Linked DNA regions of Macaca mulatta. The protein of the gene in region 3 purifies or fractionates together with the protein of the main gene of each other region. This does not show direct contact. Links are inferred from orthologs where the notes say so. Each region holds a gene or a part of one and is shown on either strand. Other genes may lie near its edges. The genes, in order: PPP6C, PPP6R1, ANKRD52 and PPP6R2.

The links.
Region 1: the proteins of ANKRD52 (region 3) and PPP6C purify together in Homo sapiens (affinity purification with mass spectrometry; 6 studies listed by BioGRID and IntAct, with this or other methods). This does not show direct contact. The link is inferred for Macaca mulatta from reciprocal best matches to the Homo sapiens genes ANKRD52 and PPP6C.
Region 2: the proteins of ANKRD52 (region 3) and PPP6R1 purify together in Homo sapiens (co-immunoprecipitation; 3 studies listed by BioGRID and IntAct, with this or other methods). This does not show direct contact. The link is inferred for Macaca mulatta from reciprocal best matches to the Homo sapiens genes ANKRD52 and PPP6R1.
Region 4: the proteins of ANKRD52 (region 3) and PPP6R2 purify together in Homo sapiens (affinity purification with mass spectrometry; 3 studies listed by BioGRID and IntAct, counting the BioPlex papers as one, with this or other methods). This does not show direct contact. The link is inferred for Macaca mulatta from reciprocal best matches to the Homo sapiens genes ANKRD52 and PPP6R2.

What each region holds. Positions count from the first base shown.
Region 1 is NC_133420.1:22,609,628-22,616,731, reverse strand, and holds part of PPP6C (serine/threonine-protein phosphatase 6 catalytic subunit), read right to left. Parts: intron 6,374-7,104; coding exon 6,308-6,373; intron 4,169-6,307; coding exon 4,027-4,168; intron 1-4,026.
Region 2 is NC_133424.1:67,583,085-67,590,881, forward strand, and holds the start of PPP6R1 (serine/threonine-protein phosphatase 6 regulatory subunit 1), read right to left. Parts: upstream 4,106-7,797; 5' UTR 3,892-4,105; coding exon 3,868-3,891; intron 2,909-3,867; exon of another isoform or gene 2,569-2,908; coding exon of another isoform or gene 2,560-2,568; intron 1-2,559. UniProt on the Homo sapiens protein: Regulatory subunit of protein phosphatase 6 (PP6). May function as a scaffolding PP6 subunit. Involved in the PP6-mediated dephosphorylation of NFKBIE opposing its degradation in response to TNF-alpha.
Region 3 is NC_133416.1:63,417,909-63,425,677, forward strand, and holds the start of ANKRD52 (serine/threonine-protein phosphatase 6 regulatory ankyrin repeat subunit C), read right to left. Parts: upstream 5,288-7,769; coding exon 5,261-5,287; coding exon of another isoform or gene 5,135-5,260; exon of another isoform or gene 4,928-5,134; coding exon 4,844-4,927; exon of another isoform or gene 4,535-4,843; intron 4,378-4,534; coding exon 4,299-4,377; intron 4,102-4,298; coding exon 4,031-4,101; intron 3,000-4,030; coding exon 2,799-2,999; intron 2,271-2,798; coding exon 2,183-2,270; intron 2,039-2,182; coding exon 1,896-2,038; intron 1,596-1,895; coding exon 1,383-1,595; intron 1,122-1,382; coding exon 1,043-1,121; intron 736-1,042; coding exon 621-735; intron 420-620; coding exon 337-419; intron 231-336; coding exon 113-230; intron 1-112. Other genes in the region: uncharacterized protein LOC144332932, read left to right, coding at 5,135-5,623. UniProt on the Homo sapiens protein: Putative regulatory subunit of protein phosphatase 6 (PP6) that may be involved in the recognition of phosphoprotein substrates.
Region 4 is NC_133415.1:1,014,330-1,021,433, forward strand, and holds part of PPP6R2 (serine/threonine-protein phosphatase 6 regulatory subunit 2), read right to left. Parts: intron 6,537-7,104; coding exon 6,451-6,536; intron 5,907-6,450; coding exon 5,826-5,906; intron 5,429-5,825; coding exon 5,331-5,428; intron 5,157-5,330; coding exon 5,099-5,156; intron 4,789-5,098; coding exon 4,664-4,788; intron 4,355-4,663; coding exon 4,191-4,354; intron 3,038-4,190; coding exon 2,878-3,037; intron 2,775-2,877; coding exon 2,686-2,774; intron 1,916-2,685; coding exon 1,714-1,915; intron 1-1,713. UniProt on the Homo sapiens protein: Regulatory subunit of protein phosphatase 6 (PP6). May function as a scaffolding PP6 subunit. Involved in the PP6-mediated dephosphorylation of NFKBIE opposing its degradation in response to TNF-alpha.

The DNA.
Region 1 (7,104 bases), on a different chromosome or scaffold from region 3:
CTATCATTAGAAGAGTCAAATACAAATTTCACACAACCTGAAGCAAATGTTTTTACAGTTATGTTAATATTAGGTAATTCTGGTAAACAGATAAATTTATTTAAGGAGACCATTCTAGCAGGATAATCAGATCAAACAAATTAGAGGACCCTTAGTTATAGGAACATGAGCAATTCCTAACTCTTCTCAGGGCCAAGTTGTCTCTTCTGAGATTTTCTGCAAATTGTCCAACTAAACACTTGAGCTTCAGTGGATCACAACTGAGGACAGACTGCCAGTCAGGTTCTTACAAATTCCCAGTTGAACACTCTTCCTGCTGCCTCCATAGCTTTTTGTTTTTGAGATAAGGTCTCACTCTGTCGCCCAAGTCGGAATACAGTGGCGCAATCAGCAGTGGCAAGATCACAGCTCACTGTAACCTCAACCACTTGGGCTCAAGCGATCCTACCACCTCAGCCTTCCGAATAGCTGGAACTACAGGCATGTGCCACCACACCTGACTAATCTTATTTCTGGTAGAAATGGGGGTCCCCCTATGTTGTCCAGGCTGGTCTTGAACTCTTGAGCTCAAGCAATCCTCCTACCTCAGCCTCCCACAGTGCTGAGATTACAGGTGTGAGCCACTATACCCTGACTGTCTACATAGTTAATAGGGTACACACTTCTTCTGTTAACACCATGGAAGCTCTGCACTTTGACTTCTTCCATAATTTTAGAAAAAAAAAAACCTGACATACCATTATTGCCTTAAGTGAAGCTGAAAATGATATAGGAAAGAAGTCTGCAGGTTATGACCACTCCCCAAGATTTTCTCAATTATATATCTATGTGAAGCAAGATTGTTATGTAAACTTGGCATAAGAGAGCCCTAACAATGAGCTCAGGTTGCAGGCAGGGATCTTGAGCTTGGCTCTATAGTAACTGCCCAGCATGTGTTTTTTGTTTTTTTGTTTTTTTGTTTTTTTTTGAGACGGAGTCTCGCTCTGTCGCCCAGGCTGGAGTGCAGTGGCGCGATCTCGGCTCACTGCAAGCTCCGCCTCCCGGGTTCACGCCATTCTCCTGCCTCAGCCTCCCGAGTAGCTGGGACTACAGGCGCCCACAACCGCGCCCGGCTAATTTTTTGTATTTTTAGTAGAGACGGGGTTTCACCGTGGTCTCGATCTCCTGACCTTGTGATCCGCCCGCCTCGGCCTCCCAAAGTGCTGGGATTACAGGCGTGAGCCACCGCGCCCGGCCCCAGCATGTGTTGAACTGAAGGCCCAGTGTAAAGTTATATAGGGATATCTTATTCCTTTAAAATCAATGTAAGTCTTATAATAACTAAAATTATCTTATTCCCGAGGAGCTGTTAAGCTTCATTTTATTAAACAAAACCATACAACACCACTACAAGAACAGAGCTCTGGGAACAAGAAAGTTCAATACTAGATTTTGTGTTGCTGTCATTTTCCTCAGTCAAGGCACCTTGATTAAAATGTCCTCCTTCCTCACCCCATTTTTTTCCCCTTTAGCCCTACATTGATGAAAACTGGGCGAATTCTGGAGTATAACTGTATATATAAAAACAGTCACATATAAAAAACATATGTCATATATTAGTCATATATAACAATATGCGTTTTATATATTATGCATGTAGCATTAGTTACATATATATAGTAGGTGTGTGTGTTTTGATAACATTAGTTTTAGTATCTTCACTGAGCTAATATCATAGTATGGTATCTAAAATATTGATCCAAAAGTTGTATTTCAATTGGTGTTTGTTTTGTAAACGAAAATAAGAAGTAACTTGTAGAAAGGAGACAAATAGGCCGGGCGCGGTGGCTCAAGCCTGTAATCCCAGCACTTTGGAAGGCCGAGATGGGCGGATCACGAGGTCAGGAGATCGAGACCAGCCTGGCTAACACAGTGAAACCCCGTCTCTACTAAAAAATACAAAAAACTAGCCGGGCGAGGTGGCGGGCGCCTGTAGTCCCAGCTACTCGGGAGGCCGAGGCAGGAGAATGGCATAAATCCGGGAGGCGGAGCTTGCAGTGAGCCAAGATCGGGCCACTGCACTCCAGCCTGGGCGACAGAGCGAGACTCCGCCTCAAAAAAAAAAAAAAGAAAAAAGAAAGGAGACAAATATTATCTAACTTTACAAGTATTTAAAAAATTATATAAAAACAATTATCAAAATTTCTCTAATTGATAATGGCAGACAAACTGAAGAGTAAGAGAGTTCAGAGTATCTTTGTTTTCTTTTGTTTTGAGACAGAGTCTCGCTCTGTCACCCAGGCTGGAGTGCAATGGCACAATCTCAGCTCACTGCAACCTCCACCTCCCAGGTTCAAGTGATTCTCCTGCCTCAGCCTCCCGAGTAGCTGGGACTACAGGCAAGCGCCACCATGCCCAGCTAATTTTTGTATTTTTTGTAGAGACGCGGTTTCACCATGTTAGACAGGATGGTCTCAATCTCCTGACATCATGATCTGCCTGCCTCGGCCTCCTAAAGTGCTGGGATTACAGGCATGAGCCAACACGCCCAGCCCAGCCTATCTTTATAATGACAGAAGATAATTCAAAATATAAAATTTAAAACTAAAGGGTTCTGCAATTAATGTTTCCAAATCTCTCAATATCTGCCTTAATTGTGCTCAAGGAAAATCCAAATTCATAATCTTGATAATTATATTTCCTTCAAGGGGGTTCCTAATAAGCGCTCTCTCTCTCTCTCTCTGTAACTTTCAACCAAATAAAAGTTTTAGAGAAGTAGCTATTTTGCTTTTTTTTCTTTCTTGAGACATAGTCTCGCTCAGTTGCCCAGACTGGAGTGCAATGGCGCAATCTTGGCTCACTGCAACCTCCACCTCCTGGGTTCAATCAATTCTCCCTGCCTCAGCCTCCCAAGTAGCTGGGATTACAGGCCCCCACCACCATGCCCGGCTAACTTTTGTATTTTCAGTAGAGACGGGGTTTAGTTGGTCAGACTGGTCTCAAACTCCTGACCTCAGGTGATCCACCCGCCTCGGCCTCCCAAAGTGCTGGGATTACAGGGGTGAGCCACTGCGCCTGGCCTATTTTGCTTTTTATGACTAAGTTCTGCTTCTGATCCCTGAGGTCCTAGCATTCTCTGGAGTGAGCATACAGAGATATATGTAAAAGGATGTGTAATAGCAGCTTAAAAACAACTCTAAAGTCTAATGATAGAGAAAAAACTGATACATCAATTATGGTACATCCATATGGTATATGATGCAGCTATAAACATGACAATAAAGTCAAAAAATCAGGTATGACCCCATTTTAGTGTGTGTTTGTACATATATAAACACACATAAATACACACACACACAAAATAGATGAGAATGGACTCTCCAATTTGTGCAGAACATTCACCTTCAGCAGATTCTAGATTCCCACTCCAAAATATTTTGATTAATAAATCTGTGGTGAGGCCCAGCAATCTACATTTTTGTTTTGTTTTGTTTTGTTTTTTTGAGACGGAGGCTCACTATGTCGCCAGGCTGGAGTGCTATGGCGTGATCTTGGCTCACCATAACCTCCGACTCCTTGGTTCAAGCGACTGTCCTGCCTCAGCCTCCCGAGTAACTGGGATTACATGCATGCACCACCACGCCCAGCTCATTTTTGTATTTTTAGAAGAGACGGGGTTTCACCATATTGGCCAGGATGGTCTCGATCTCCTGACCTTGTGATCCGCCTGCCTCAGCCTCCCAAAGTGCTGTGATTACAGGTGTGAGCCACCCCATCCAGCCCACAATCTACATTTTTAATGAGAACCCAGGTGATTCCAGCAAGATAAACTAAGGACTACACTTTGAGGCACAGATCTAGAAAGATGCACACCAAAAAGTTAACAGTAATCTCTCCAGCATAAGATTTTCAATTGTTGGGGAGGAGTGAAGGAGTGAGGATGTGGGGAAAATAATATACATAAAGCATGTGTATGACTTGTGTAGCTTTGTTTTCCAAAGAGGAAAGTAAAATAATATTCAGAATCAGAGAAATAGGAGTTCTTACCATAAAATCCATAGACCTGTGTTATCTGTCTACTCTCATGATTTCCTCGCAAAAGTGTAATACGATCAGGCCATTTAGCCTTTAATGCAAGAAGGTAAGTGAAGGTCTCCAAACTATAGTAACCTCTGTCTACAAAATCACCCTGTGAAGTAAAAGTGTACAGTTACAAACAATACAATAGCCACAATATTCTTTTCAAATTACATCAAACTGCACAAACTCATGGTTCATAACTACAATAAAAAGTTACATACTGAAATATTTGGAAATTTGATTTTAACAAAAATTAAAATAGAAGTAAACAAACTGTTTCTATTAAATGTTTATAGAAACAAGATTTTGGACTCCAGGGAAACCTACAAGAATCTGCTGTGCCATTCTCTCAAGAACTTTCCCTGAAAAACCACCATTTTCTCGCTTTTTTTTTTTCCAGACAGAGTATCACTCTGTCACCCAGGCTGGAGTGCAGTTGCGCAATCTCGGCTCACTGCAACCTCCACCTCCTGGGTTCAAGTGATTCTCCTGCCTCAGCCTCCTGAGTAGCTGGGATTACAGGCGCACACCGACACCACACCTGGCTAATTTTTCTATTTTTAGCAGAGACAGGGGTTTCACCATGTTGGTCAGGCTGGTCTGAAACTCCTGACCTTGTGATCTGCCCACCTCGGCCTCCCAAAGTGCTGGGATTATAGGTGTGAGCCACCATACCTGGCAAAACCATTTTTTTCAATCCTCTATTACCTGCATTAGTTGATTTGGTCATCTGTTAACCAGTATTTTTTAAGTAATTTAATTTTTAAAAATTCAATTTTTTTTTTTTTTTTTAGAGATGGGGGTCTCACTATGTTGCCCAGGTTGGTCTAGAACTCCTGAGCCTAAACAATCATCCCACCTCAGCCTCCAAGTAGCTGGGACTACAGGTGTGCACCACCATGCCCAGATAAAATAATTTTCTATTTTAAGAAATCATTTTAACTGTATTGGAAGAGCTGCCTACTTGAAGAAAAAAAATTTTTTTGTAAAAACAAATACCATAATTATAACAGCATTCTAGGTTCAGTTTTGCATTTAACAACCATATATGATAATATACTATTTACACTTCCCATTAATATCTGACTTGGGCCAATATTACACCAATAGGAAAACAACTGAAAGAAAAGTGGCCAAGTGCGGTGGCTCATGTCTATAATCCCAGCACCTTGGGAGGCCGAGGCCAGCAGATTAGGAGGTCAAGAGATCCTGACCATCCTGGCCAACATGGTGAAACCCCGTCTCTAGTAAAAATACAAAAATTAGCTGGGCATGGTGGCACGCGCCTGTAATCCCAGCTACTCAGGAGGCTGAGGCAAGAGAATCACTTGAACCCGGAAGGCAGAGGTAGCAATAAGCTGATCACACCTGCACTCCAACCTGGCAACAGAGCGAGACTCCATTTCAAAAAAAAAAAAAAAAAAAAATAGGAAAGTGACCCAGAAACTTTCAGAAGGAAAGATAATGAGAGAAGGATCCAGAAAAAGTTCAACAGTAACACTACATTCCAAAAGAAAAGCAAACATCTACCTTAATAGCAAATGTGTAGGTATGTATATTCATCCATCCATAGATTAACAAGAGATAAAAATGAATGCTCGAAAAGTTTGAATAAATAATAGTCAATTGAAGATTTATGCCTTAAACCAGGGGTTCTGGGTTATTTTTATGCCCACTCATTACTGATAGCTATTACCCAACCCTATCTACAGTGGCTTACTAAGGCAATTAATTAGAGGACATAGTTAAATGTAGAAAAGTACACAATCACTTTGATATGGTTTGGCTGTGTCCCCACCCAAATCTCATCTTGAACTCCCATATGTTGTGGGAGGGACTCGGTGGGAAGTAATTGAACCATGGGGGCAAGTCTTTCCTGTGCTGTTCTCATGATAGTAAGTCTCGTGAGATCTGATGGTTTTAAAAACAAGAGTTCTCTGCACAGTCTCTCTCTCTCTCTTTGCCTGCTGCCATCCATGTAAGATGTGACTTGGTCCTGCCTGCCTTCTGCATGATTATGAGGCCTCTCCAGCCATGTGAAACTGTAAGTCCATTAAACCTCTTTCTTTTATACTTGCCCAGTCTCGGGTATGTCTTTATCAGCAGCATGAAAATGGACTAATACACACCTTTTCATATACTGAAATGGGGACTGTCACATGGCAAAAAATTATTATGCAATTTACATTTAATAAGTCAGATCCTTTCCATGTTAAACAAGCACTTGATATCAGTGGTGTTTACATACCATAAATATGTAGTTTGTGTCAGGAACCTGACCTCCAGTTCTGAACAGTTCACAAAGGTCATAAAACTATAAAAGAAATGCAATATATGCTGATTACAAATTCCTGTTAAGAAGCAAAACAACAAAACTGAGAGTGAAATGTGTAAAGAAGCAGTTAAGAGGACTCCAAATATTTACATTTTTAAGAAATAAAGTGTAAGCCAAACTGCCAAGCACACAGTTCTCACGACTAAAAAAAGCACCAAATAAAGCTCAGTTACCATAAAACCACTACTAGATCATTATCATAGGCTCCCTTTCTCATTTTCTTTCATACATCTCCCCATCTATCTCTTGAGAATTCTGACATCCTTTACAAATTGTCCAATTTCTCAGTAAGCTAATCTAACAGCCAACCCAAATTCTGTATCTATTTCAATGAGACAAGAGATTAAGGAAACAAGTGGATATCTCTTTTTCTTCCAAACTGAACTTACATGACACTTCACAGTGTCATACAGAGATATTCCCATATTCTACAGTTAAGAGTCATGTACCCTCAGGCTCCACAGCCATGGAGTCTCTTCTCAATGATCAGTTAAAAAAAAAATTACATATTTCATCATTTTTTGTTTCTTTTTTAAGACAGGGTCTGGCTCTGTTACCCAGGCGGGAATGGAGTGATGCAATCATAACTCACTGCAGCCTCAAACTCCTGGGTTCAAGTGATCCTCCTACCTTGCCCTCCTCAATAGCTAGGACCACAGTTACACACCACCATGCCCAGCAATTTTTATAGAGACAGGGCCTCCCTTTTT
Region 2 (7,797 bases), on a different chromosome or scaffold from region 3:
ACGCCAGCAAAGCCAGTCCCAAGGAGCGACACGCCACAGACTTCCACCTATGTGAAGCGTCCAGAACAGGCAAATCCATAGAGACAGAAAGGAGATTACAGGCTTTCAGGAGCTGGAGCGGATGGGGGAAAGTTCCTGAAAGGAAAGGGTGATTTAAAAAAAGTTCCAAAATCAATTATGGTGATGTTTCCCCAATGTTGTGAATATACTAAGAACCACTGAATTGTATACTTTATTTATTATTGTTTTTCTTGAGACAGAGTCTCGCTCTGTTGCCCAGGATAGAGTGCAATGGCGCCATCTGGGCTCACTGTAACCTTCAGTTCCCGGGTTCAAGCAATTCTCCTGCCTCAGCCTCCCGAGTAGTGGGGACTACAAGCACGCAACACGGTGCTTGGCTAATTTTTTTTTGGGACAGAGTCTTGCGCTGTCACCGAGGCTGGAGTGTAGTGGCACAATCTCGGCTCACTGCAACCTCCGCCTCCCGGGTTCAAGCAATTCTCCTGCCTCAGCCTCCTGAGTACCTGGGATTACAGGTATGCGCCACCATGCACAGCTAATTTTTTTTTTTGTATTTTTTTTTTTTTTCAGTAAAGATGGGGTTTCACCATGTTGGCCAGGCTGGTCTTGAATGCCTGACCTCAAGTGATCCGCCTGCCTCGGCCTCCCAAAGTGCTAGGCTTATAGGCGTGAGCCACCACTCCTGGCTGTGCACTCTAAATGGATGAACTGTATGGAATACCTCAATAAAAACTGTTGGGAAAAAAAAAAAAAAACCTGCCTCAGGCCATCGGCCATGGCAGGGCCAGAGCCCGGGCCAGGCTCAGGCCTTGTACTATGCCCCAGCGTCCACAGAGCTGACGAGATGCCGGCCAGCCTGGCAGAGCTGAAGCTGCCAAGGCTCCGCCCTGGGGCACTCACGCAGGTTACCCCTTCCCCATCCCTCACCACCAACAGCCCTAAGCTAGGTGAGCCCCTCCACCATGGGGGCAGGACAGGAGCAGCACCAAACCCACATCTGTAGAAAATCCATGGACCCACACTTGCAGACACTTGTCTCAGCTCCACAACAAGACCAAGTGAAGGGCCAGGCGCGGTGGCTCAAGCCTGTAGTCCCAGCACTTTGGGAGGCCGAGACGGGCGGATCACGAGGTCAGGAGATCGAGACCATCCTGGCTAACACGGTGAAACCCCGTCTCTACTAAAAAAATACAAAAAACTAGCCGGGCGCGGTGGCAGGCGCCTGTAGTCCCAACTGCTCGGGAGGCTGAGGCAGGAGAATGGCGTAAACCCGGGAGGCGGAGCTTGCAGTGAGCTGAGATCCGGCCACTGCACTCCAGCCTGGGCGGTAGAGCGAGACTCCGTCTCAAAAAAAAAAAAAAAAAAAAAAAAGACCAAGTGAAGAATTCTTATTATTCCGAAAGTTTCATGTTGAAAAGGGGCCCAGAGCGGCGGAGCTACATGGCTAGCAAGAGGCTTCCAGGATGCCCTAGTCTCTAAACAAGAGGCAGAAATTCTCATACTGAGGCCCACCGTTCACTTCTAAGATACCTGATTAAAGGGCACAGGCCATAGCCCTCGGCCCCCAAACCCCCTACCCCTGCTACAGACTAACCCTCTGCTTCGGGGATAGTTAAGCATCACGCTTCCCCTCCAAACCCAGCTCCCCAGAGAACTGGGGCAGGGGCTGCCAGAACGAGACAGGAGGGTGCTTGCTGGTGCGTGGCATCCGAGACCCTTGGCCCCGAGAACCCAGACAGTCCCTTGAACTCTCCCCCTCAAGTGGCTCCTCTGAAAACCAGAGTAGACTGAAAGGCTCAAACGCAATCGGGTGGTCGACACTACAAACTTCAATTCTCAGGCTCTAAACAGAATGAAGATGCAAATACGGAAGAACAGAAAAAAAGAGAAAAAAAAAAAACTTTCTTCCACCACAAACTCTGAATTCTTCCACCACAAACTCTGAATGCACTATGGCCTCAAGCCCTCTCAGTCCCCTCTCCCAACTTAATGAAGCCTGCTAGAACCCCTGGGAATGGGGCAGGAGAGGTGGGTTTCACGCTCACTCTAACTAGGTGAACCTGGGCAGACACTTGACTTCTCTGAGTCTCATTTCCTTGTCCGTGAAAACGAGACACAGCCCACCAGGGCGGGCTGCCGTGGAAAGGCACAGAGCTAAAGCAAGTGGCCCTGACACAGCAGGAGCTTGGCAGGTGCAAGTCCCTTTCGGTCCAACCCTGAGGCCACGTCCAGACGCTTCCTGGCAGGACAGGTAGGGACCGTCACGACCCCAAAGGTGATGGTGCTAAACAGAGGAGCAGGAGACAGACTCTACCCATTTGCCTAAGTGACTCAAGCACTTTTCCTCAGACCATTCGGATACTACTGCAGGCGCCGTGCACCCCGCCACCCCCATTCTTTGCAACTTTTAGCAACTTCAAGAAAGCGGAAGTGACTACCACTAGTTTTTAGCTACCGTTTGAAAACCAAGAGTCTGGCTGCAAACGGAAGAAGGGGAAATTGTAAATGAGAAAGGAAGCCATTAAAAACGAAAACTACCTCTGCCATTCTCCCTCCACCAGCTCTGCACTATTGCCTCTGGTTTCTTATTTTGCTGTGGTGTTCTAGGGCCTTCAACACCAGTCACCCCTCAAGGGCCTAACAGCCCCTTCCTTCCCCTGCTTGGACAGGCACTAACGGCGGCTCCCACAAAGCCATCCCCACTGCTGCAGGCATCCGTCCAAACACAGCTCTGCCGCCAGGGGACTGACGGGCCCACGCTTCATCTGTCACCCCTCCTCAACCCGCGCTGACCCATGAGCACCCAGAAATGGAGGCCAGGGCACAAAGGCCCCGGGGGCCTCCAGAGACAGCCGCCTGAGCTGCCCCCATGCTCAGCGGAAGCTCCAACGCCTGGCCCCCTGGCCAGTACCCCAGGAAGAGAAACAGCCTGCTACCAGCAGCAGGTTGGCCAGCACCCAGCTCCTTAAAGGGCCCAGAGTCCCAAGGACAGCAAGACCATCTCCCTCTAATATCTCCCAAGCCTCCGTCAGCTCTCAGCCAAATCTGAAAGGGGTTTGGGAACACCCAATTCCAGGGACGCAGCGACAGTAATGGCCACCCCACCATCTCTGAGCAGGACCTATGGGGTGTGCCAGCTGCAGAACCCAGCACCACCCACTCAGCAAGCAGGAATCAGGGACACCAATTTGGTAGAAGGGAACCTGTCCAAGACCCAACAAGATGATGAGCGAGGGCTTTCCTGTGGCTTGGGAAAGCCTTGGGGAGGGTCCCCACTTAAAGAGGACCCTCAGTGGCTCCCCCTCTGGCCCCAGAAACACACCCTGCCGAGGGAGCTGGTAGCCCTGGTCCAACCCCAGGGAATGGAATAACTGGGAAACAGAAGAGTCTAGAAACACTGGCCGAGGACTGGGACGGGGACTTGAACGCCCACATTCAGATCGTCTCCTGAACTGGCCACAGGTTTAAAGGAAAAAAAGGAAAAGATCAACAAACAGATTTTGAAATAGCTCTTTGGAAAAACAGAATGGGGCAGAGTTAGTGTTACAATGTGATCCGAAGTCAGAAAAGCGTGCATTCCCATTTTACCTCCCCAAACTGAAATATCTGTGGCCCAGACCAAGGATCTCACCCCACCGAGCCCCAGTTTCCTTATCCGGGAAATACCTGACAGATGGGGCTACTGTAAGGCAGCACCCTGTGGAGAAAGACCCACAAAACTGGCGTGCAAAGGAAAAACCACGGTTTGGCATGGAAAGGCGGGTGAGCCCCACCAAGCCGGGTGCCGAGTGATTCCTCCTCTGGGAAGGCCCCTCACTCTCACCAAAGCTCCCGGGTCTCTCTCACCTCATCTCTTGCTATCTCCCGCATGGGTGCCACACCTGACTGCCCTCGGCCCAGACTGGGCTACTCCCTCCTCCTTCCCTGAGCTCTTCGAGCCTGACTAGCTCCTCCTGGGTCCTTCAGGCCCCCACACAGACACCACTTCCTCCAGGGAGCCTCCCCACTGCATCTGTGTCAGGGGCCTGCTCCACACTGCTTCCACGGCATCCCACAGTCACCCGAGGACAGCACGTGAGCCTCGGCTCTGTGACAGGATGTACCTGTTCAGTCATCTGCCTCCCCTGAAACACGCTGACTTCCCAGGATCTAGCGTCAGGCCAGGCCCAACTAAAGCTACTTGTGAATTAATGAAAACTGAAGCCAGAGAAAGGTGTTCTGTTAAGATCACTGGGCCACACATCCCAGAAAAAAAAATGGGGAGGGTACCAGACAAGCAGGTTCTCCTCGAATGGAAAGAAACAGTAGATTAACCAACAAAAGCTAACGGCCACAAAGATGGTGGCAACTCGCAATACACAACTCACCAACACACAGCTCAGGAGTCACAACAGAGCAAATGAGCCACAACGACACACAGCATCCCGGCAGTGGAGCAAAGCTCTCCTCCTCTGCGCTGCCCACATTTGGGCTGGACAGTTCTTTTTGGTGCTGGGACTGCCTGTGCATTGGAGGACACTTAGCAACATCCCTGGCCTCCACCTCCACTCACCAGATACTGGCAGCACTCCCCCCAGTTGGAACAACCAAAAACATCTCCAGATATCGCCAACTGTCCCCAGCTGAGAACCACTGCAACAGACACTCCCAAATCAAATAACAATCGAAAGAACGGCCAGATATGGTGTCCCACACCTATAATCCCAGCTCTCTGGGAGGCTAGGCAGGAGGACTGCTTGAGCTCACGAGTTTGAAATCAGCCTGGGCACCATGGCAGGGCACCATAGCAAGACCCAGTCTTTACAAAAAATACAAACATTAGCTGGGCGTGTACAAAAAAATACAAAAATTGAGCAAGCATTGCAGCACGTGCCTGTAGTCGCAGCTACTCAGGAGGCTGAGGTGGGAAGATCACTTGAGTCCAGCAGTTCAAGGCTGCAGTGAGCAATGATTAGACCACTGCACTCCAGGTTGGGCAAAGGAGCAAAACTCAGTCTCAAAATCATCACCATCATCCAAAGAGCTACTGATTGCAGAGCACAATGTACCTTGCATTCTGCCCCAGGCTTCTACAAACCTTGCACTTAATCCCTAGAACTACCCTCTGAGGACAGCAGTCTGCTATCCCCACTTACAGATGAAGAACAACTTGTCCAAGGTCTCACCACTTGGAAAAGCAGAAGCCAGACTCGGCCTAGGTCTGTCTGACAAAAGGTCCTCTAACAATTAGCTGGACTGCCTTCTCATGATCCCAATCCCAGAACTAGAGTTAGGTGGTCTCATGTAACTTATGCAAAATGATACATGTTGGGCAAAAGTTAAAAAAAAAAAAAAAAAAAGCATAACATTTTAAACAGCACAAGCAGCTCCAACAGCCATTCCACCACTAGTAAGCACACGTGGCCGGGTGCCGTGAGCATTTCCACGTGTGTTGTGCATGGATGTAAACCAAGTCCTCATCACGGGTTACTCAGGCAATCTCCAGTCCTTGCTGCATTTGCAGGGCACGGTGATGGTTAGATCCTCGCCCTTGGGCTGGATGAAATCCCACTGCAGTTTCTCTACAACTGTGAACCCAGTACCGCGCCTGACAGTCTACGCAGCTGCCTTTACTGAAACATCTTGCTTTTCAGGCGGATGTTTATGGTCATGTCTGTGTGTACAAAGAGCGAGCAAGAAAGACCCCAACCAGAGGTCCCATTCAAGGCCCGGACAAGCACCCCGGGCCGAGCTACTCTGCCCCTCACCCTCCCAACACATCTTCACTCAGGACTCCGACCTTCCTTCCTTGACATATCTGCACGTGCTGCTCCTTCCCCCCCCCCCGGAAGGCCCTTCTTCCCACTCTCCATCTGTCACCTCCTACTCATCCTTCCTAGACAGAAAAAGCCATCCATCCAGCCAGTCTCACCAGTGCCTTGCGCTCTGTGGCCCCCTGCAGCTCCCTAAGTTACCTCCATCACAACACACAGGAATTGTGACTGTCCGGTTCTGCCTTTGTCCCCCCCCCCCCTCCAGGGACCGGCCCCACCTCCAGGGCAGGGCCTAGGACTGATGACCCCTCCTCGGAGCCCAGCGCCAGGCGCCCTGCCTGCCCTCAGCAGGCTTCATCTCACTGAAGCAGGCCGGAGTGGTGGCTGCTCCAGAGAAGCCCCGCTCCCAGGTCCCTCGCACAAGAAACCGGAGGCGGGAGAGGGTCGGTCAAGGTGAAGACAAGCCCCGCTCCCCCAGTCCTGAGCTCCGGGGTGACAGGCAACGGATCTAAGGAGGCTGCGCCGCGGAAGAGGCGGCGGGGCAGAGATTGGGGCGAGAGAGATGGGTGTAAGCGGGCAAAGTCCAGGGTAACCAGGAGGAAAGACTCCTGGGGAGCCGGGGGACCGGCCAGAGAGGCAAGAGAGCGGAGCTGAGGCTCAGGGACTGGGGAGCGCAGCTGCAAAGAGAGCGGGTGGGAAAAGCCCGAGGGCAAGAAACTGAGAGGTGGGTGGCGGGGGAGCTGAGGAGAGATTAAGAGACTGGAGAGGGTCGAGGGGGAAGAAACGGGGGCCCGTGGAGAGGGAACCCGAAGGAAGGAGGATCCCAAGCAGAAAAGACCGGCGGGGGTCCGGAGAGGGGAAGACGTGGGGGCCTGGTCCTGGAGAGGCAGGGTCGGGCGACACGGGCCGCTCACCTGCGAGGGGGGGCGGCGGCTCCTCGCACTCGGGGCTCATCGGGGCGCCCCCCCCGCCCCGCCGCCGGCGGCTCCGGCCCCTGCTGCGGGGCCCGGTAAGTAGGGGCGGGGGCGGCGTCGGGGACTTGCGCAGGCGCCGGGGCTCGCGGGGTCCGCGCAGGCGCCCGCGGGTCGTGGGGTCCTCGCGCGCCGGGTCCTGCAGAGTTGAGGGGGTCAGAGCCGGGTGGGGTTGCCGGCGGGCTGGGGGTGTCACGAGTCCGCGTAGGCGCCTCCGGGGTCCGCAGGCGAGGTGGGCGCGCCGACCAAGGCGGGTTGCGGGCGAGCCCGGTCGCGAGGCCCGCGCAGGCGCCTCAGCCGGGAAGACGGGGGAAGTTGCCTCGGTTTCCACACTCCAACCCAGCGCCCCGCGGGAGGGGAAGACGTCCTCCTCCGCGGTCCAAACGGGCCGCAGAGCCGAGCAGCGACCGACGGACGCCGAGGCCTACTTCCTTAACCGCCCCTTCCCCAAAGCCGCTCAGTCTCCGGGCTCTGCGGCCCGCCTCAGGGCCTCCGACGCCCGGCTCCCTCCGCCACTATCCCACAATCCCCCTAGCGCAGGACGACGCAGGAGGCCCCGCCCTCCCGCGGCGGTCTCGGTGCGCAGGTGCGGGAGGGGCCGCACGCCTGGGTGGTGCAGTGCGCGTGCGCCCGCGTGCTTCCGACCCCGCCCACTCCTGAACCCCGCCGCCGTAGACGCGCTTGCGCCCGTTGGTGCCAACGGTCTGGCCCGGAATAAACCCAGACAGCGCAATGAGCCGGAGCTGCGCAGCGGCTCCGTTCCAAGTCCCCGTGAATATTCCGCCCCAGGATTTCCCTTCCCACTCGCTCCGTTTGGGAATCCGTTCGCTCTTCTGTCTCCTCTAATCATAGTCCGGCTTTGGCTCCAAGGTCGGGCTCTTGTGAAATCCAGACCTGGTTTTCACTCCAGCCAAGGCCAGGCGCCTTAGTCCCGCCCGGCTCTCGAAATAAGCGGCCTGCGAGCCTCAGGAACCCTCAGTCCTTTCCATTTGCTGGCGATAGTCCCGGCCGGGTCGCTAGTGTTGCCAGTTCCGCCCAAAGCCGCCTCTAAT
Region 3 (7,769 bases):
TGCTGTGACTGCTCTCATTGTGAGAGGGGGAATAGATCTAGGCAGGCAAGAATGACAGGCCCAGACCTTTGCCCAGCTCCCTGCTCAAAGGATGGGAGAAAGAAAAACTCACCCTCCGGAAGCAGCAGCATGAAGACAGGTACGGCCAAGGTTGTCAGGTGTATTGATGTCAAACCCAGCTGAAAGCACATGCTCGTTGCTGAGTGAAGACACAATGCTGTACAACTGACCTGGAGGCACAGAACAGCCACAGGTCACATCTGAGAGTGTTCAGCAGGGAGGGAAAGGCCTTTGCTCCCCTCTACACCTGCCAATCCCCAGCCCATCAGCACATACCTGAGGAAAGAAGCTTACGACAACAGTCAGAGAATCCAAAGAGAACAGCTAAGTGCAGGGGGAACATGTCATGGATGCCACGCCTAGAGACAAGTTGAGGAACTCAGTCCTTGGGTCAAGGAGGGACCAAGTAAGACCTCTTCTTTGACCCACCACTACCCTAGAGTCAGGGAAGGAGGTTCTCCAAGGTGCCCTTTGGCAAGCTTCTCTGTGACTCCATGGTTGATGTGAGCAGTCTATGCAGATCTGGGCAGCCCAGAAGTGGAGTCAGGGCCCTGACTCACCGGGCGGTATCTGCGCCATTGGTCATGAGGGTGCTGATGAGCAGCTCGTGTCCGTAGCGAGCAGCCACATGCAGTGGCGTGTTCCCAAATTTGTCGGCACAATCAATCTCACTGCCTGTGAGGGGATACACACACACAAGCTCAGGTGGACCTCAGGCTTAAGACCACTCTCGTGAGCTAGCCACGATTTGAGTGCCTACTATGCATCAGGTGCCAGGCCCAGGATTCTACATGTTTTATCCTGTTTCTAGGCCTTAGGAGACTGGGCAGGGCAGAGCAGGGCCATTTCCACAAGTCCCTTGGTCAGAGTTCCAAGGGCCTATCCTACTGGAAGAGGGTAGGAGACGGAAGTTAGGGAGATTCTAGAAATGAGTTCCTTGGGGGAGGAAGGGATGAGAGCACAAAGTCTCCCAGGTCCATACCATTCTGGATGAGGATCTGGGAGCGTGTGAAACGGCCATGGATTGCAGCCATGTGCAGAGGACTTTTCCCTTCTTTGCTCTGTGGAAACATGGTGGGTTTTTGTTTTTGTTTTTTTCCAGTGCAAAGCACAGAGAATGCCCTATCTCCTTCCAAGGACATATCTCTAAGGACAAAAGGGTCATATGGCACCTTCTTAGCCCACTCTCTCCTGAGTCCCTGGCAAGGTCTGATTACCCCAGGAAGCAAGTGGATAATTCCACGAGAGTTATCCAGATACAGTCAGGACCCCTAGAGCCAGGTTTCGCTCCCCACTGGTCTAAGCCTTATCCCTTCAGGCACCTGGTAGTTGACGTCAGCCCCATTATTAACCAATAGCTCCAAGCAGAGAGCGCCATTGGTGGACACTGCAGCCACATGCAGTGGTGTGAAGCCCTTGTCATTCGGCTGGTTGACATTGGCTCCGGCATTCACCAGCTCAATAGCCACAGCATCCTGGCCCAGGTAGCAGGCGATGTGCAAAGCTGTGTTTCCAAAAGCGTTGGGCTCATCGATCTGGATATTCAGCAGTGAGAGTAAGGCGGTATCAGTTTAAACAAAGTAGAAGCCAGCACATGTAGCCTACAGATCCCAGAAATCCAATGACTGCCTCAGTTCCTCTGGGGTTTCTGACCCAAGGTACTAAGGTACTCAGGGTACTATGGCTAAGGTAAGCATTATTCAGACCCTCTCTACCACGCCCTTCCAACCTCCCAAAACTACACCAACAACCCAATATCTCATATCTCCATAACAGACTCTATAATCTCCTACTCACTGACCATAGTCCCCAACCCCAGAGCTCAAAGCCCTGACCTCCGCTCCCATCCGAAGCAGGTACTTCACCACTTCAATCTGGCCACTGGCAGCAGCTGTATGGAGCAGCCCATAGCCCTTGCGGTCCTTGCAGCCGAGGTCTGCTCCCCGTGCCACCAGCAGTTTCAGGACCTCCAAGTGCCCTGAGAAAAGAGAAGACACTCTAAAGGAAGTAGAAGATAAACTCTAAGGCCCGGCACTCCTCTCTTCAAAGGCTGCAACCCCATATCCCTGCTCTAGGAATCCTAAATGTTAAATTTCTGATTTTCCCGTGTATTCTCTCTCACCTAGAAAAGCTGCCCAGTGTAGAGGCTGCCGCTCCTTTTTGTCACAGACATTCAGGCTGGCTCCCTTGTTGAGGAGCAGGTTCACCGTCTGTATCAGGATATGAAAGACACTTGTTCAGAGTCAGATTCGTGCCCTCAACCTACCTAAGAGCAGAGGCCTCATCTGAAAAGGCTGAGGCAGCCTAATGCCTTTTTCCATGAGCAAAACAACCTGGAGGACTTGAGGGAACAGCAGAAGCAGGCACTAAGGAGGAGATACTGGAGAGATCTGGAACTTTGAGGGAAACAAGGGAGTCTCTTCAGGTGATTTGGTGGTTCTTAAACTCTTGTCTTTGCAAATGTGCTGAAAGACACGTACTCTCTTCAGAAAGGCGTGTAAGCAAAAATTTTGCTTAGATATTTTCTAAGCAAAATCCAAGGTTTTATCAACCTCCTGAAGTCCAAGTTAAGAATTTTAATCTAGTCTGACCATTCATTTAGCGCTTGAGTTTTAGTGTTTATATAACCATCTGGGCTGCTTATCCTTCAGGCTTGAAGGCCCAGAAGCAGGGAAAGGTGAGTAGGAAGGTAAGAAAAGGGAAAGCCCCAGCTGGGCCTGGATGGGAACAGTCCTCACCTCAAGATGCCCACTATGCACTGCATGGTGCAGAGCACTGCGCCCGCTCCTGTCAGCCACGTTGAGGCTGCTCAACAGGGGTGCCAGAGCCTCAGCACACTTGGTGGCCCGGTTGGCAGCAGCCACATGCAGTGGTGTCTGCCACAGCTTGTCCCGGGCATTCACATCTGCTGAATGTGCCAGCAGCAGCCCCAGCACCTTCTGTTGAGGGGCAGGGGACAAAAGAGAGAGTAGGAGCGGGAGGTAAAACAACAGGAAATAGAAGGAGGAATAGGTCAGCAGAGCATCTACCGCCCCATCTTCCCCAGCACAGAGTCTCTTCTCATTTTTCCAACATCCCTAGCCTCTCAATACCTACTTCCCATCTTCTGGATCTTCTTAGAACTTGAGCTCTTCCTTACCTTGCTGAGTAAAACAAGGACCCTTTGCTCTTCTTCAAGCCACCTGACTCGCCAACTTAGACCATGAAAATCTTCACTCACACATACATCCATTCCCAAACAAATCTACACATGGAGATCCACACATCCCAACCCCCCACCACTTCTAGGAAAACTAAATGCTCTTGCTGCACCTTGCCCTGAACACCCTCTTTAGCCTTCTCATAGGCACCAAAATTATTTTCAGTATCTCAGTAAGCAAACAGATACCGGTTCCTTTGCAAAACCCGAGCTAACATGCCCCTCCTAACCACCACCTACCTCATTCCCACTGGCCTCGGCCCCTCCCCCGGTAGCTGGAGCCAGGGAAGTGATGAACTGAGGAGGAGGTCCCCCTTTCCCTGTCTGCAGGGCTGATGGGAATAGGGCAAAGGACCCAACTGATGAAATACGTTTGGCCCCTGTGCTGTCAACTTTCAAGCTACTTGAGGGCCAAGGATGCAACAGATTACTATACCCATCCCCCATCACAAGGAAAGAAATCTCAGTGCCCAGAGGGGGATCAGACTTAAGGTGGCCCCCCAGGGAGGGATGAGTCACTCAGGCCTGGCAGCAGGGCCCCCGCAGTCTGCCAGCCCAGTGTTAAGCTCTCCCTGAGTCACATCAGCTGGCAGCACTCAGCCCCCTTACCAGCCAGTTCTAGGGGTAGGAGGGAGGGGCCAAGATTTGATCTCCTCACTACTTGGGGTAGAACAGCTTGTAGGGCTGAGGACTGAGGCTCCTTGACCCTTAACTTCCACCTTTAAGCAACTCATCCTTTTTGAAAGGGTAAAAGAAGGTGGGGGCGCATACCTCGTTTCGGGAGGCAGCAGCACGATGAAGAGGGGTCAGCCACAGTGTGTCCTTAGCATTGACATTAGCACCTGTGGGGATATAATTTCCTATTTTGATGGAAGGTGAGGAGGGGGTATGAAGGAAGCCAGTAATCAGGCCAGGAAATCTGAATGGAGCTGGAGCCTTGCCTGGACCAAGCCCGGGAGAGCAATCCTTGAATATCAAAAAAGACTCCTCCCCTCCCTTCCCTCCCTATGTGCCACACCTTCCAGCTCCCCACTTTCACCTGACATCAGTAGCAACTGGAGGATGGGGACATCGCCTACGTAGGCAGCAGCATGCAATGGAGTTCGCCTCTCTTGGTCCTAAGAAGGCAAAAAAGAGGAGGGACTGTGGGCGCGGGGTGAGGGGGCTATCAAGCACCCCAGCCCAAGCCTCAGAGCTCCAGGCCCTTCCCCACAACCTCTTCCCATAGTTTCTGCAGGGTCCTAAGTCCCAGTACTGGGAGTCAAAGGCAAGCACCTAGGGAGGGTGGAGTCAGGGCCAATGGGCTGAGAAGCCGGCTCCTTTTTCCAGGAGGGGTGGGGGCGCTGCAGACTCCGGAGGTTCAGAAGAGAACAACGTTCCTGGGCATCCCCAGCCCAAGTGATCTGGGCTGTAAGCCTGACCTGCTCTCCATCCCCAAATGCAGAGTAGGCTTTCACTCCAGGATGGAAAGAACTGCGGCCTCATCTGAGCAGAGGAGACACGGAGCCGCCCCACCGGTGGGGAGGGGTCCAGAACACGGGAGCCAGGATTCCGGTCTCGCCATCCTCCCTGCTCCCAACTCACCAGCACATTGATGTTCTCCTTCTGCGAGAGTAGGGAACGCACTTCCTCCACATCTCGGCTAAAGATGGCCTGGACCAGGGGCGGCTGCAGGGAGAACCGGCAATCTGAGAGCGGGCTGGAGCCGGAGCGGAACCGGTGTGGGGGTGGGGGTGGGGGAGCACCCAGGTTTGGGGGGGGGGGGCGTCCGTGGAGGGGCTCCACTCTGGGGATTCTGGCTGGAGCGGGCTCCCGCGGTGCCTCCTCCGGTTGCCAGGTCCCCAAGGACACCGGCTTGGTTGAGGGGAGCGCGGCATGGGGCGGGGCGGGAGCTGCGGGAGCCCCGGGCTCGGGCCCAGCCTAGGCCGCACATCCCCGGGCTCGCGTGGCGGTAGCGCGGAGCCCTGGAAGGAGGAAGCGGGGAAGGGCAGGAGGGCTGACCTGGTCCGTGATGCTGAGGATCCCCATGGCCCGGCCCGGGCTCCGTCCGCATCGAGCTCCCGGCGGCGGCGGCGGTGGCTCCACCGGGGACACGGAGCGGCCCAGGCGGCGGCTGCGGCGGCGGCTGCAGGGAGAGCGCGGCCCCGCCTACCGGGGGGCGGGCGAGCGGGAGGCCGCAGCGCTCCCTGGCGGCCGTCCGAGTCCCGGCGCTCCCAGAGCAAACGGACCCCAGCCGCAGCGCCCTCCGCCCCACCCTGGCGGCCCCTGCAGCCCCTGCACCCCCGAACTCACGCGCCGGCTCCCCGGCTCCCGCAGCTGGCTGCGCCAGTCTGGCGGCCCAAGGGGTTCCTCACAAGATCCTAGCGGAAACCTGGGCCTTGGTCCCGCGGTGCTTCCCAAACTGAGGACCGAACGGCGGGCCAGATCTCACCCAGCCCACAATGCTCCCGCCCGAGCTAACTCCTCCCGTCAGTGATTCCACACCCCGAAATCCCCCACAGACTAGGGGGAACTGGCGGGTGGAGAACTGGGAATTATGTATGGCAATATCCCCAGAGGGAGGGAAAGCGTGTATCTCCACTGGCGGATGCGTGAGTTCGGTAGAGAAGAAATAGCAAAAGTGCTCAAAATGCGGAGAAACCCCAAGGAGGATTCTACTGCAGAAAACACCCACAAAGAGGCCATGACAACTGGCAACTGGAAAAGGCCGCCAAGACCAAGAGAAGGGACATTTTCCAGCTCCTTACTGATTCCATTGCAAGGTTAAAGTGGAAAACACTCTACAATTTCTTCCCAGAACAGCATGTGGCGCTTCCCCTCCTCCAATGGAGAGGCCAGAAAGCCGTCAGTTAGAGAAGAAATGAATGGAAGTCATCTCAACCCAGAATTGGAAAAAGGAGGAAGACGAAAAGTGAGTTGAAAAATTGATACAATTTCTGAAAGGTGATCCAGGGTCCTGTTCAGAGTTTCACAACTCAATACACATTGAAGAGAACACATAATGGACGAAGTGCAGCATGCTGGCGTCTTGTCAAGGCTTTATATATAAAGGTCCTCCCTTGCGGGGAGAGGAAAAAAATTTAAAAATAAAAATATATTTTATTTTATTTTGTTTTTTGAGACGGAGTTTCACTCTCGTTGCCCGGGCTGAAGTGCAGTGGCATGATCTCGGCTCACTGCAACATCCGCCTCCCGGGTTCAAGTGATTATCCTGTCTCAGCCTTCCCAGTAGCTGAGACTACAGGCGCCCACCACCCTGCCTGGCTAATTTTTGTTTTTGTTTTTGTTTTTGTTTTTTTTGAGACGGAGTCTGGCTCTGTCGCCCAGGCTGGAGTGCAATGGCCGGATCTCAGCTCACTGCAAGCTCCGCCTCCCGGGTTTAAGCCATTCTCCTGCCTCAGCCTCCGGAGTAGCTGGGACTACAGGCGCCCACCACCTCGCCCGGCTAGTTTTTTTTTTTTTTTTTTTTTTTTTTTTTTGTATTTTTTAGTAGAGACGGGGTTTCACCGTGTTAGCCAGGATGGTCTCGATCTCCTGACCTCGTGATCCGCCCGTCTCGGCCTCCCAAAGCGCTGGGATTACAGGCTTGAGCTACCGCGCCCGGCCATAATTTTTTTATTTTAGTAGAGACGGGAGTTTCACCATGTTGGTCAGACTGGTCTCGAACTCCTGACCTCAGGTGATCCACCTGCCTTGGCCTCCCAAAGAGCTGGGATTACGGGCGTGAGCCACCGCACCCTGCGAAAATACATTTTTAAAAAGCCTTCCTGGCCGGGCGCGGTGGCTCACGCCTGTAATTCCAACACTTTGGGAGGCCGAGGCGGGCGGATCACGAGGTCAAGAGATCGAAACCATCCTGGCCAACATGATGACACCCCGCCTCTACTAAAAATACATAAAATTAGCCGGGCATGGTGGCGGGCGCCTGTAATCCCGGCTACTTGGGAGGCTGAGGCAGGAGAATTGCTTGAACCCGGGAGGCGGAGGTTGCAGTGAGCGGAGGTTGCAGTGAGCCGAGATGTGCCATTGCACTCCAGCCTGGGCAAAAAGAGCAAAACTCTGTCAAAAAAAAAAAAAAAAAAAAAAAAAAAGCCTTCCGGTCAACATGGTGAAACCCCATCTCTACCAAAAATATAAAAAATTAGCCTGGTGTGGTGGTGCACACCTGTAATCCCAGCTACTGGAGAGGTTGAGGCAGGAGAACCCACTGCTCTCCAGCCTGGGTGACAGAGGCAGACTCTGTCTCAACAACAACAAAAAAAGCCTTCCCTTGCCTTCCTACTAGAAAGATACTTAAGACACTAGTAACAGTCCTTTTTTCCTTGAAAGAAAAACTGGGGTACAGGAAATAAGGAATGAGAGGGAAATTTACCTATCACTATATACCTTTTAGAATTTTTAAATTTTTTACCATATTGAAAATAAAAGTTAAAATATTGCTTAGGAGCAATCACTCCGTGATTCCATGCACACACAAAAATTACAAAGAAATAAAATGTTGCTTTAAACT
Region 4 (7,104 bases), on a different chromosome or scaffold from region 3:
GGTCTGGAACTCCTGACCTCGTGATCCACCTGCCCCGGCCTCCTAAAGTGCTGGGATTACAGGCGTGAGCTACTGTGCCTGGCTGGGTAAAGACTGTTAAGAATTTCAGTGACTAGGCTGAGTGCGGTCACTGCTCAGCGCAACAGCGCAAGACTCCATCTCAAAAACAAAAACACAAACAAGTAATTATTTTCACTGACTAAACTTTTAAGAAGGAATGAAGCCCACGCAGGAACTCTGTATGACTTTCAACCTGAGGGGCTCTGGCCTGGGCTTCCCAGTGACTTTGGCATCGGGACATCCACTGCTGTGGCGTTGGCCCCGTTTCCCGTGCTGTGCCCCCCACTTGCTGCAGATGCCCTGAGGACAGGGTGGCCAAACAAGGGGAGAAGCTGTGAGCACAGACGGGGCCTGCCGGTCAACAGGGCGGGGAGACCAGCCCGGCGCTGAGCTTGCAGCTTGGCTGGGGGAGATGCCTGGAGCCCCAGTACCACACAGACCTTCCAGGACTGCTGGGGGTCAGCGAGCAGGACCCTCTGAGGTGTCAGACCTGCTCCACATGTGAGGGGAGGGCAGCACAGGGGAGACGCATGCAGGCTGAGGCCCTTCACAACCACGGAGCCAGGAGGGACTGGGATGTACCACCAGGCGACAGGCACCTCGTCCCCTCCTAGAGGAATCCAGTCCAAGGACTTCCCCACTGTTGCCTGGACCTACTGGGAGCTCAGGCCCCAGGGCCTTTGCACAGCTGTACCCTTGCCGGGTGCACCCTCGTCCCCCCGTCAAGCCCAGTCCTACCCTCCCCCTTAGGTTTACCTGGCCCTGGCATCTACCCCATCTGTCCTGCCCTCCTGCTAATCTCCCACCCCCTGACCCCAGAGGCCAGAGAGGTATCTGTTCACTGAAGAATGCCAGGGACCTTCTTCCTGTGGAGGGATGGATGGGGTTCAGCTTGCTGGAGGGGCCGGCCAGACGCCAGCCTCCTCACAGGGAGTGCCTCCCTCTCCACTCTCTCCCCAGGAATGGCTCTTGGGGGCTCAAGGGAGCCTGGGCCTCTGCCCACCTGCAAGCTGCCTCCAACTCTCAGGGTCTGGACCCCCCAAATGCAGTCCTGAGGCCCCCGCCCCCATTCTACTGTCCTGCTTCTGAGGCGTCTGGGAATCACAGGCCTCCCGTGGAAGGGGAGCAGCGGGCGAGGTCTGTGTGAGCTCCACAGATGCCCGCTCGCCTGCCGGACTTAAATTCTGTGCCCCTCCCTGACCACCAGGGTACCCAGATCCCAGGCGGCTCAGCCAGGCCCAGAGCCCCAAGAGCTGGGCTGTTCTCTCCAACCGGGATCTGGGGTAGGGGCTGCTCCCCCACGTCCCTGGAGGACTGTCTGGGACACCCAGGCCCTGTCTTCTTGTCTTAACCACTCACAACGGAGAACACAGATGTTCTGTCCAAGAAACGAGCCCCACCCTCCTCCCATCTGGCTCCACTTAATGTGCAGCATCACCCTGAGCATCACCCCCCGAGCCAGCCTCTGAGGGTCACAGGCACCACCACCCCGAGCCAGCCTCTGAGGGCCACAGGGCCATGGGGGAAGCAGTGTGGGGAAGACCTCTGGCCTGGCCTCGGCCTGCTCTGCGGGGAGCTGAGACCTGGAGACGGCCTGGAAGCCGCACCCTTTGCACTTGGGCAGGCCCGCCCCGCTCCCCACGCCCCACACACCTGCCGACAGCCTCCTCTGTCCTGGCCCCTGTGGGCCGCGGGGGGGCCTCCCGGCCAGGACTCCTGCTCACGGCATCCACGGCACTCGCTGCCTTCTGGTAGTCCTCGCTGTCGGAGCCCCCAGAGGAGCTGCTGTCAGAGGCCAGCAGGGGGGCCTTCCTGGTGACACATACGTTCCAGGCACATGGAGAAGCTGGGCTGACTGCAAAGGAGGAGGCCTGTGCTGTCCAGTGAGGCAGGAGGGGCCACAGGGCACGGCCACCCTGGCCATAGGGCCCCCATACATGTGGCCTCTCACATGCACCTGTTGCCTGCACACGTGTGCCTGTGTGAGAGCCGCATGATGAGGCAGACACGCTCACGCACCTGCCATGGGGTCTCCACACAAGCAACCCTGTTGCCTCCCCCATGATACAGGGCAACACGCCTTGGTCTCACAGGAAGACACAGGCTCAGGGAGGGGCCCGCTCCGCCTCATATGGTCCTGCCACAGCTCCTTCAAGCACCTGGGACACCAGTGTTGGCAGCCAGCTGTCACTCTCCTGGAGCTCTCAGCCTTATCTGGGGCAGCTTCTGAGCCTGACTAGGGGGCTGGGGGCCAGGGGCTCTGATCAGGCCCCAGAACGGCTTCCTGCCAGCACCCCACCCACATACATCTCAATACTGGGGTCCCGGGGCTGCTCGCCGGAACCTGGGGTGCAGGCCTGGGCTGTGCCACCTACTCAGACCGGACTCAGGGCCAGCCCGATGGCCTTGCTGCCTCCCCCTGGGGGCCTCCCCATCTGCACGTGGCTGCTCCAGTCCCACTGCTGTATCAAACCCCAACGTCACCAGAGGCCCAGCAGCATGCGGGGCCCTGGCCACCACCTCCCACTGCCCCCAAGGAGGGCGGCCAGCTGGCCTCAGGCCTTAAACTGGGCAAGGCTGGGCCTCTGCAGGAGCCTGGGTGCTGCCTGCACTACTCCTACTCACAGGCTTTCTCAGGGCCTTGGCTCCGGCTGCCCTCAGCCCGGCTGCGTTCTGTGTCCACTGGAGAGCTGCACCTGGGCCCTGACTCGGAGCTGCAGGCAAGCACGAGGACAGGGTCAGTCCCGGGGGACGGGCGCCTCCTGACCCTGACGGGCACTTCCTGGCACGGCCCCCTCCTGCCAGCGCATTTGTTACCAGCAGAAGGGCTGGAAGTCGGTGAACTTGGCCCAGCCTTTCTCCTCTGGAGCTGAGGTGCCAGCTGCCCACACGCTGGCACCCACGTCCCTCACCACTCCTGGGGCTGTGGGTGTCGAGTTCACTGGCTCATCAAACACTGCCGTCCACATGGCGCCTGCTGGGGGAGACACGGGTCAGGTGTGGGCAGGCCTGCCTAGGGTGCTGCAGGCAAAGGGAAGGCAGCACCCCCACCCCAGGGGCCCCACAGAGGTTGACAGGAACATGGAGCTGATCCAGGAGGGAGGGCTGGGCAGTGCGCATCAGCCCCTCAGAGAGCAACGGGGCAGCTTGAGGGTCCTGACAAGCTGCCAACACCCATGGGGCATGTGACCCGAGGCTCAGGGAGGCGCCTGAGGGGCCCCAGGCCTCCAGCAGGGCTGAACTGACCGTGGAGGTGACACCACTGCCCTGCCCTAGCCAGGAACGCAACCGACAGAGACGGCAGCTCACCGAGCACCACTGGCCCCTCCCTGGCCTCGAGGATGGGGTGCCTCCCTCCTATCTGGGATGTTCGTGCTTCCCCAGGATGTCACCCTTGCTCCGTCAGCCTCAGCTAAGAGCTCAGCACCTCCTAACAGAGATTCCTGTCCCCCCGCAAAGTCCTGAGTGCCGCACAGATTCCTGTCCCCCCCGCCCACAGTCCTGAGTGCCGCACAGATTCCGGTCCCCCCTGCCCACAGTCCTGAGTGCCGCACAGATTCCTGTCCCCCCCGCCCACAGTCCTGAGTGCCGCACAGATTCCTGTCCCCCCCGCCCACAGTCCTGAGTGCCGCACAGATTCCTGTCCCCCCCGCCCACAGTCCTGAGTGCCGCACAGATTCCGGTCCCCCCCGCCCACAGTCCTGAGTGCCTCAGTGCTGCCTCCAGGGCAGGGGTAAGGAGAGGGGTCTTATCAGCCATGCGGCCTGTGAGGTGGACCAGCTCCTGCCACAGACGTAGGCTGTGAGGGTGGCGGCCGGCCTGAGCTGCTGTGCTGGGGAGGGCGTCAGGCCCGTGCCCAATTTTGTGGGGGCCGGGTGGACGATGAAGACTAGGTGGACACCACCCACCAGCCTTGGCAACGTGGCTGAGTGACCACAATCAAGAGGCAGGGCCAGGAGACCACCTTGTGCCGGGCACAGGGCAGCACAGACCCCTACTCAGGATGGCTGGGAAAGAGCTGGGGATGCAGGCTCCGGGCCACAGTGAGCCCCAAATGAAGCTTCCACAACACCCAGGCCAGGGTACCATGTCCTGTCCCCAACACCCACAGCCCCGGCCCCCAGCGCCACCTTCTGAGTCACCCTCCACAGTGGGGGCTTCCTTCTTCCCAGGGGCCAGGGGGGCACCTGCCCCAGGTGCATCTCCGTGTGCTTCTGAGCTCGCCTTCCCGTCCTGGCCTCCGCGCTCTGGGCCATTCTTTGAGCAGCTGTCTGAAGCATGGGGGGCTCCAAACCTGGGGGAGACTCAGAGTCAGATGCCTGGTGGCCCAGGATGGACGCCTAACGTTGAGGGTTAGTGACGGCCCCAAGCTCGGGGCTGAGAGTGAGCACAGATCATCTCGAGAGAGGAGCAGGAGTGGCTCTAGGCCTCAGCTCCGGGCTCCTCAGGGTCACCCGCTGCGTTGGGCCCCAGAACTTGCAGGACAGGTGAGCCTGCTCTGCGAGTCAGAGTTAACAAGCAGCAGGGCGTCGGGGCGTCTGACAGGTGTTCTGGTGGCTGCACCTCCTCGGCAGAGGCTCTGGGGGATGGGCGGGCCCCGCACCTGGCTCTGGCCATCACCCGGGTGGCACAGCGAGTGTCACTGTCCTCCCAGATGTCCTCGTCCTCATCGTCATCAAAGGGCTGGATGCGGTCGCTGCAGCAGGCCTCAAACAGAGCTGCGCTGGGCTGCCGAGTAAAACGCCAAGGTCAGTTTCCAGAGGGTCTGGGGGAGACAGGAGGTGCTCTCCCCAAAGGGCTCCCAGAGGGGCTTAGTTCAGGATGTGGGAGCCCCGGGCTGGAGGGCAGGATGGGGAGGGGCAAGGAAAGCGACTGTTCCGAGCTCCACAGAGGGGCCTCCACCAGCCCCACCACACAGGCCCACGGCAGACCGAGCCATGGGCGCGGCCTGAGCTGCCTGGGAAAAGGGTGCCCGCACGCCACACAGCCCCGCACGCCACACAGCCCCGCACAGTGCCACACAGCCCCGCTGGCTCACACTGTCCTCGTCAGCGTCGATGTTGAAGTTAATCTCTGCAATCCTGTCAAACGGGGCACTGCAAGAGCAAGGAGGGTGGTCTCAGCGCTCCTGCCCCCTCACTGCTCATCTGGGGCCGCAGTTCTTCTCCCCTGGTGCTCACTAGGGACATCAGGCCGCACTCCTGGCAAGGCCTCAGGGAGCTGCCCCCGTGGGACCCCAGCATCAAGGACGGGCGTCCAAGCAGACTCACTTGATGTTGTCGTCCTGGTCTGCAAACTCCTCATCATTGAAGCCAAACTGATCCACGAAGCTGGCTGCCATCTGCTGGATCTGGTAGTCAGAGAAGGCCTGGGAGGGAGGGAGGCAGGGACACCAGTCATGGAGCAGCCTCAGGCCTGGAGGCTGTTCTTTGGAACCACAGGCTCTCTAGTTGTTCAGGAGCTTCTCCTCCAGCAAAAGCCGGCAGTAAACTCTGACCGTTCAGGGCTCACGATTCTACCGAAACTCAGGCTGCGCGCCCGCTGCGGTCACATCTGAGATACGCCCCATATTCTGACTTTGGAGTCCATCTGCTGTGTTCTCAGCGCTCTCATCAAGGTGGAGTGACTTTGGGGTTCTCCCCTCAGACCCACCCCGCCCCATACGTGCTCGGAGACGAGCCCCCTCTCCCCTTTGCTAGTGAGATGCCATCAGACTCGTCTGGAGGACCAAGCGCAGCGCACACAGGTGCCGGCCACGCCCTCACCTGCTGAAGGGACAGCTCGTTAGGGAAAGCACCCTCAATGTCCTCGTCCTCACTCGAGGAGTGAAGGTGGTGAGTGCTCACCTAAAACACAGGCCAGATGGGGTGGGCGTGTGAGCCAGCCCAGCGCCCCAGATCCCACCCAGCCCAGCGCCCAGGACCCTGCCCAGCCCAGGGCTCCCAGACCCCGCCCAGCACGTCACTCGTCAGATCTCTGGGCCCCAGAGGCCGTGTTGTGTAAGGTGCCCAGGTGAGGCCAAGGCCCCGTGACAGCCCAACCTCCATGTGCAGGGGGCAGGTTGTGGGTCTCAGGCAAAAGGAGCCCTCTGCCAATAAGCTACAGCTCCTGGAGTGGGAGGGAAGGGAACTGAGGCCAACACCGGCTCTGCACAGAGGTCCTCAGAGACCCAGCCCTGGTGTGGCACAGGACAGGGTCTCTGTTATGGACACCAGCCCAGAGGACACACTGCACACTTGCGGGCTACGCAGGGGCGCCGCGTGCAACAGGAGCAGGCAGGTGTGCGGCCCTTGTGCCTCCCTTGGCCTCTGCCTCAGGGCAAAGGCAGGAGCGTCGGACGGCGTCCCAGCACCGTGCACATGCCGAGGGGGCAGCCTCGAGCCTCCTCACCAGGTCCACAGTGTTCCTGCGGTTCGTCTCCGTCAGTGTCTCCTCCACGAAGCTCTCCCAGCGGCCACGGCAATCCGCAGGGAGCCCTGCAAGGGAAGTGCTGCCTGGTGAGCCCTGGGAGACCCCGTGCAGATGGCGCAAGGCACCCAGGAGCTACAGCAGGTGCATCGTGGGTCCAGGAGGATGGGGCGCTGCTACCGCGGTCAGTCCGTCTGAGGGCCTGAAGCACGGGCTTTGCTGGATGGGAAGGAGGCAGCACAGCCGCGTGTCTGGAGGGACCTGGGGCCACACTGAGATTGAGGTGCAGCAACTGTGGGCAGGGTGGTGGGTACATCTGCTCCTACCGAGACCCCAATGGGCATCCGAGTTCCAAGTCTGTTGGTGCGGAAGCCCACGGTGAGGAACTCCCAGAAATGAGAAGCCGCGGAACAGAATCTAAGAAAGCAGCCAGCCTCCTCCTCCCGGCCCCACGCCGGCCTCCTCCTCCCCGCCCCACGCCGGCCTCCTCCTCCCGGCCCCACGCCGGCCTCCTCCTCCCCGCCCCACGCCGGCCTCCTCCTCCCGGCCCCACGCCGGCCTCCTCCTCCCCGCCCCACGCCGGCCTCCTCCTCCCGGCCCCACGCCGGCCTCCTCCTCCCGGCCTCACAGGCCCAA